Macaca fascicularis: one gene and its partner. The protein of the gene in region 2 purifies or fractionates together with the protein of the main gene of each other region. This does not show direct contact. Links are inferred from orthologs where the notes say so. Each region holds a gene or a part of one and is shown on either strand. Other genes may lie near its edges.

Region 1 (3,651 bases), about 11 Mb from region 2:
CTTCCTGGGTTCAAGTGGTTCTCTTGCCTCAGCCCCCGAGTAGCTGGGATTACAGGCACCTGCCACCATACCTGGCTAATTTTTTGTATTTTTAGTAGAGATGAGGTTTCACCATGTTGGCTGGGCTGGTCTCGAACCCTGACCTCAAGTGATCCACCTGCCTCGGCCTCCCAAAGTGCTGGAATTACAGGCGTGAGCCACCACGCCCAACCAAAATAATTTTATATAAGAAAAACACCTATGTGGAAATGTTGGCTACTTATTTACAGGATAATTTAAAAAGGTTAGGCATTAATGTAGAACAAATCAGACAATTAAGCTTTAATAGATTCTGAATTGCTGTTTTGTGTCTTAGCATTCAAATCTGGATGGTGCATGGTCCTGTAACTTTTAAATTGTTATAAAGACATGTTTTCAGTAATAGAAGTATATTAGTTAACAGGCAAACTGTTGCACATAAACCAAATCTTTGCTCAAGCAAACTTTTAGATGTATTGTAAATGTATTAAATATGGACTTCAAGTTTGGAAGTGGCCCCAAGAATTCCCATATTAAGAGCTTGTTTGAAGTCAAGTTTTTCAGGAGCACTTTGCCTCTTAACGTTGTAGAAATAAGTGTATCTTCCTGATCTTTTTCATTTTCTGTTACTTCCTCTTTCAATCATTTATTTAAAATATCTTTATTAAGAATTGCCTTGTTTTGGTTTAAAGATATGGGACATAGGAGGACAACCCCGATTTCGAAGCATGTGGGAGCGGTATTGCAGAGGAGTCAATGCTATTGTGTAAGTGGTTTTTTTGTTTGTTTGTTTGCTTTTAAATCAATTTAGGCATCAAAGAAGAAAGTTTATTTTAGTATTTCTGGAGGCTCAATTTTTTTTTTTTTTTTTTGAGACGGAGTCTCGCTCTGTCACCCAGGCTGGAGTGCAGTGGCCGGATCTCAGCTCACTGCAAGCTCCGCCTCCCGGGTTCACGCCATTCTCCTGCCTCAGCCTCCCGAGTAGCTGGGACTACAGGCGCCTGCCACCTCGCCCGGCTAAGTTTTTGTATTTTTAGTAGAGACGGGGTTTCACTGTGTTAGCCAGGATGGTCTCGATCTCCTGACCTCGTGATCCGCCCGTCTCGGCCTCCCAAAGTGCTGGGATTACAGGCTTGAGCCACCATGCCCGGCCTAGGAGGCTCAATTTTTATCTTGAAAATGAAAGTCTTTCTTAGCTAATATCCTAGTGCAAGTCCATTAACATGGGATTTAAAAAAATTAATCATAGAATAAGATCTTTATGTTTTTTGTTTATGGAGCCAAGAGCTAAGGGGTATACATGTTTTACTATCATGTATTAGTCTCTAAAAACAGTCTAGTTAAAAAGTATTAAAGAGTGCTGAGCCTTTCTTTAGGACATAGTTTATTTTGGTTAACAATTTCAATAATGTAAATCTTACGAAAATTAAAAATCAGTAATACCAGTTGTCGTCATCAAGTCATATGGAGAAGGTATGTTGAGATCACTTCATTTTTTTAAGTTACATGATAGATGCTGCAGATCGTGAAAAGATAGAAGCTTCCCGAAATGAGCTACATAATCTTCTAGATAAACCACAGTTACAAGGAATTCCAGTAAGTACGGAATACTTGTTATTTTACATTGTAATTATATAATGATATTCATTATGGTAATTATACAATGATATTAATTATGTTTGAAATCAGTAACATCTTCTTTTTTAAAATCTGGAAGACTTGTTTACCGTGTATCTGCCATATACTGGGCATTGTGGTAAGTATGAATCTCGTAACCAGATATCTACTAAACTACTGTGCATCAGGAGCAGTGCTTAGGCCCAGAGATAGAGTGATGAACAGAAATCAGTAGAAACATACTCCTTGCCGTCATGGACCTTATGGTTTAGTGGGAAAGGTAGATACTCTGAATAATGCAGCTTTAAGTGCTAGGAAGAAAGGTGCAAGGGGCTATGAGAGTTGTAATTTAGAGGGGAGATTTGATCTAGTTTGCAGGAGGAAGGAGGGATTCACGAGGAAGTAATGCTTGAGCTGAGATCTGAGGGATACATACGAATGTGAGGTATATGACAGCTGGAGGAGAAGAGAGTTCCAGGTAAAGGCCTTTGGGTGGGAGGAAGTGGGAAACTGAGAAGAGGCCAATCTCTAGAATACATTTAGGAATTTGCATTTGGATTAGGAATGCTCAACCAGTAAGTATATAATGCAAATCCAAAAAAAATTCCAAAATTCGAAACACTTCTGGTCCCAGGTATTTTGGATAAGGCGTACTAAACCTGTATTAAGAATAGCAGAATGTGGCTGGGCGCGGTGGCTCACGCTTGTAATCCCAGCACTTTGGGAGGCCGAGATGGGCGGGTCATGAGGTCAGGAGATCGAGACCATCCTGGCTAACACGGTGAAACCCCGTCTCTACCACAAAAAATTAGCCAGGTGTGGTGGCAGGTGCCTGTAGTCTCAGCTACTCGGGAGGCTGAGGCAGGAGAATGACATGAACCTGGGAGGTGGAGCTTGTAGTGAGCCGAGATGACGCCACTGCACTCTGGCTTGGATGACAGAGCGAGACTCCGTCTCAAAATAATAATAATAAAAAAAAGAATAGCAGAATGCATAGCATAGACTCAGAATATTTTAGATAGAAGTTGGCAACCACACACTGAATTAAGGGCACTTCCATTGTAGGAGTTAAGCGAATACCAGTATGAGCAATGAAATGAATGAGATAGGCCACCACAAAATGCCTTAATATTGTGGAATGTGTTAACATCTTAATTTTATGTCTTCACATATCAAGATGATAAACTTCTGTGACTTTTTCTTACATAAAAGTGTGCTCTTAATATCTTTTCTTTTTAAAGGTGCTAGTGCTTGGAAACAAGAGAGATCTTCCTAATGCCTTGGATGAGAAACAGCTAATTGAAAAAATGTATGTCTTGAATATGCTATTTTAATAATTTGCTTCTAAATTACCATATTTTGCCCACTTGTTATGTTATTCCTAATGATCATAGCCATATTTTTTAGATAGATAAATTTTAGCCTATCAGAGAAGTGAATCCTAACATTTTAGGATTGCTACAATGATTTCTTCAGTATAGTAATAAAAGTAATGAGTAAAATTGAACAAAGTGATAAGTATGACAGCTGTTCTAAGCACAAACTTATCCTCTTCTTCTCATAGGAATCTGTCTGCTATTCAGGATAGAGAAATTTGCTGCTATTCAATTTCTTGCAAAGAAAAGGATAATATAGGTAAGAAATGACTGGTAATTTTGGAAGAAATGGGTATCATTGGAAGGAATGTCTGTGCTTCTTACAGCTTATTATCTCGATTTCTTATTAAGTGACTTCCTTTACAGAATACTGTTGCTTTTGCTTGAGAAAAAAGAATAGATGTTATACCTTTTGACAACAAATATAGTGAATCTTCACTTTACATTATTGATGGCTTCTTGGAAATTGCAGTTTTATCTCTCTGTCTCTCTCTCTCATATAAATATATATAAAATATATCTAATATATAATATATGTAATATGTTATATATATTTATATATAAAATATACTATATATAACATATATTATATATATATATTTTTTTGAGACAGTCTCACTCCTTCACCCTGGCTGGAGTA
Region 2 (3,655 bases):
ACAATTGAAAGAATGGAGTTTGCATGAACCAAATAAGAAAAGACTATTAGAGGGCATTGTTAAAGATGGAGACAAAAGTTCTGAGTGGATCCTGATGTGTTCAGATGGGGCTGGTGCTTGGGAGGCTGCTCTGTGCTTACAAGAAGAGTTCTACCAGGTCCATCTTTATCACATCTTCTTTAATACTAAGTTCAGAGAGGCTTTAGCTCATTTTCCATTTTCTCGTGCTGTCTCCTCTGCCAAAGTGTCTATTTCTCCTGTCTCTATTACTGAGTCACACAATTGCTGTAGTCATTTGCAGTCTACTAGAACGATAACACACATTGGCATCAGACAGACCTTGGTTCAAAACCCGGCTCCACCAGTTTCTGTGTTGAGCTAGACCAAGTGACCTGATATGTTCGGTCTCAGTTCCTTATTTGTAAAATGGTGATAATAATTTTTGGTTAGGTAGTTAAAGTAAGGATAAATGATGCCTTCCGAAGAAGGACACAATTGGAATGGCCAGTTTACCCCTTGACCTCTCTTCGGTGGCATTCTTTATTCTGGAGCAAGGAGGGATGGCTGAGGGAATCTGTCTGTGGGTCCAACATGGCGCCGTCCTGCTCCTTGTACAAGCCTCAAAGATGGGGACAACCGTTTGGGAGCAGACATGTTTGTAGCACGTGATCCAGGCTCTGTCCCAAGGCAGCCGGAACGTGACTCAAGGTTGAGGCGGGGCTCCTCCTCCGCACCCCGGCGTCGAGCGTCTCGTGACAGGTACTTCCGCTCGGGGCGGCGGCGGTGGCGGAAGTGGGAGCGGGCCTGGAGTCTTGGCCATAAAGCCTGAGGCGGCGGCAGCGGCGGAGTTGGCGGCTTGGAGAGCTCAGCAGAGTTCCCTGGAACCAGAACTTGGACCTCCCCTCTTCTGTCCTCCGTTGAGTCTCCTCCTCGGCGGGAGCCCTCGCGACGCGCCCGGCCCAGAGCCCCCAGCGCAGAGGCCGCGGTAAGCAGCGGGCCCAGCCCGGCCGGCGGCCTGGCCCCATCCCCCTCCTCAACTCCTCGGTCGCCAGGGCCTCGCGTCCTCCCTGTCCTCCTGGCAGGCTCCAGGCCCAGCCCTGGCCTCGCGGGCAAACTCGGCATCGCTCAGGCCCACGAAGCAGGCCAGGACCCCACCCGGGTTGGAGAGGTCGGAGGTCGTCGGGCGTGACCTCTGGCCGGGTTGCCGGCCCCGGCCGCCGGTCTCGGACGCTCTGTTTACTGTTGGCGTCGATCTCAGAGACCCAAGAGGGTTCATTGACTTGGACTGCCCTGCGCCGCGGCAGGACGCGCTAGGCGGTGGAGTTATTTAGCGTGGCGAGCAGGAGGGTGTCAGAGCCCACGCCGCCCGCCGCCGTGCCCACCTGGCGGGCATGGGTCACAGGCGCTGGGGGCCGAGCCGCGTTCCCATCCGGCTCTTCAGTTGAACAGCCTGACCCTGTTAGTGGGAGAGGTTCCCTGACGGCAACTGAGTCAAGGCGTGAGTCAGGTCACGTGCGCTGGGATCGCCTCAACACTTGTGTACATTGAGGCGCCTCTGGCGCTGGAAGACAGGGAGCTTTTTGTCCTAGGCATGTTACGGTAAATCCTGAGAGAAGTTTTTCAACTTAGTCGGGGAAAGATGGTAGTTGGATGTAGAGTTGTGTTTCCATTCGGACCGTGTTGGGGGCCTCTTTCTGCATTCATTTTACGCTTGATACCTAATGGGTCATAAGGGGAATATTGAGAATACTGACAGCAAATATTTGAGCGTTTGTTATATGCTAGGCAGCGTGGCAAGACCTTTTAACAGATCATTATGTTTAGTTCTTTGAACAACCCTCTAAAGTACCACTGTTGTGCCCACTTAACACAGTGGGAAATTGAACAGAGAGGCTAAACCATTTGACCAAGGTCACACAGCTAAGTTACGAAGCAAAGATGCAAGCCCAGGCAGTCAGACTCCAGAGCACTTTATTCAATTTGTAGGTTATACTGCTTTCACGTGCCCCTGAAGCGTGTGGTTTATCTTTTGCCACCTGGTATCTGTACCTCACTGCCTTCCACCACCTCCTTTCTTTCTGTTGATGTCGTTTGAAAGTCTTTCTGGTAGCATCAGTTCTCTCTTAAAGCCATAAGAAATGCCGTTTGCGGCTTATCACACATATTGTAGTGTAGTTGAATTAGGAGCTCTTGAATACTGGCGGGGTACTTAACTGAGGTTTGAAAAATTTTGCAGGTAGGCCTGGCAAAGCTGCCTAGCGAACCTTTCTTACAACCTTAGTTGATGGCTGTCCAGCCAGTTGGTTCTTCCCTATTCAAAATACTGCATCTTTGGTTTCCTAAAGAACAGGCTCTTGTCTCTTTCTTGTGACTTAAGCAGCTGATGAGGCACATGATTTCTCATCCATGGATTAATAAAGTCTCCTCTTAGTGTGTTTCTTTCTTCAAACCTGGGAAGGTTTGTTCAGATTTGGATTTAAGAACTGGAAGGTGAGTTAGGAGTGCTTCTCCTGAAGGGACTGGCTAAGTTAAAGCTTAGCGTTCACAATCCTGTTGTATTCAAATTTGTCTTTTTTATTTTTTTTTTAACTTTGCTACCCAGCCTAAAATATTTAAGTGAGTAATAAGTACTGTAGCTTTATATAATGTTTGAGTTTAGAGGAGAGTAATGATAGGCACCTTTTTATTCATTCATGAAGTATTTTGAGTATCCATTGAGTATCAGCAATGTATCAGGCGTTGTGGGATGTTGACTTAGGGAGATAGGCATGGTTCCTGTCCTCAGGGAATTTTTAAAAGGTGAATGATCTTGGCCAGAAATTCTATTGTGGAATGATTTGGTGGTAGAACTTGAGGCTTTTTGGAAAGAGTTATTTCTCATTTCTGCTGATGAATCCGTAGTAATCCAAAGGATGGTGTTCTGGCTAACTTTAAGGCTTTGTTAATTTTAACAACAGCATTTGTATGCTCTTCAGAGAGTGTAGAAGATAATATTACAGTTTCTAATTTATCACATCTTTTAAAGAGTAACCTTCAACACTCAACTTGTTTCTCCTTTTGCTCTGGTGGCATTTGTTTTATTTTATTTATTTTTTGACACGGAGTTTCTCTCTTGTTGCCCAGGCTGGAGTGCAATAGCGCGATCTCAGCTCACTGCAACCTCTGCCTCCCAGGTTCAAGCCATTCTCCTGCCTCAGCCTCCCGAGTGGCTGGGATTACAGGCATGTGCCACCATGCCCGGCTAATTTTGTATTTTTAATAGAGACAGGGTTTCTCCATGTTGGTCAGGCTGGTCTCGAACTCCCTACCTCAGGTGATCTGCCTGCCTTGGCCTCCCAAAGTACTGGGATTACAGGCATGAGCCACTGCGTCCGGCCGACTCTAGTGGCATTTTTTTGGTTCACTCGAGAGGTAGTCCATGTCACTACCATTACCTTGCACTGCAGTGTCTTTGAGCAAAGGTACATTTGGACATTTGGCATACTGGATTTTTTTCTTCAGCTGGCAAGAAAGTTTAATGTAGCACTGATATTGTGTCGGCCATAGTTTCAGTACCATTCTACATAGAAAAGCTGTGCTACCCTATCTCCCACAAACTTTCTAGGTTCCCTTCAAGAGAAGATTTGGATTTTGCATTTGTGGTAGAACTGCATGA

Evidence for each region. The genes of interacting proteins can lie anywhere in the genome.
Region 1: the proteins of RAB7A (region 2) and ARL8B purify together in Homo sapiens (affinity purification with mass spectrometry; 4 studies listed by BioGRID and IntAct, with this or other methods). This does not show direct contact. The link is inferred for Macaca fascicularis from reciprocal best matches to the Homo sapiens genes RAB7A and ARL8B.

What each region holds. Positions count from the first base shown.
Region 1 is NC_088376.1:143,386,251-143,389,901, forward strand, and holds part of ARL8B (ADP-ribosylation factor-like protein 8B), read left to right. Parts: intron 1-710; coding exon 711-784; intron 785-1,520; coding exon 1,521-1,614; intron 1,615-2,876; coding exon 2,877-2,944; intron 2,945-3,199; coding exon 3,200-3,270; intron 3,271-3,651. UniProt on the Homo sapiens protein: Small GTPase which cycles between active GTP-bound and inactive GDP-bound states.
Region 2 is NC_088376.1:154,694,842-154,698,496, reverse strand, and holds the start of RAB7A (ras-related protein Rab-7a), read left to right. Parts: upstream 1-782; 5' UTR 783-985; intron 986-3,655.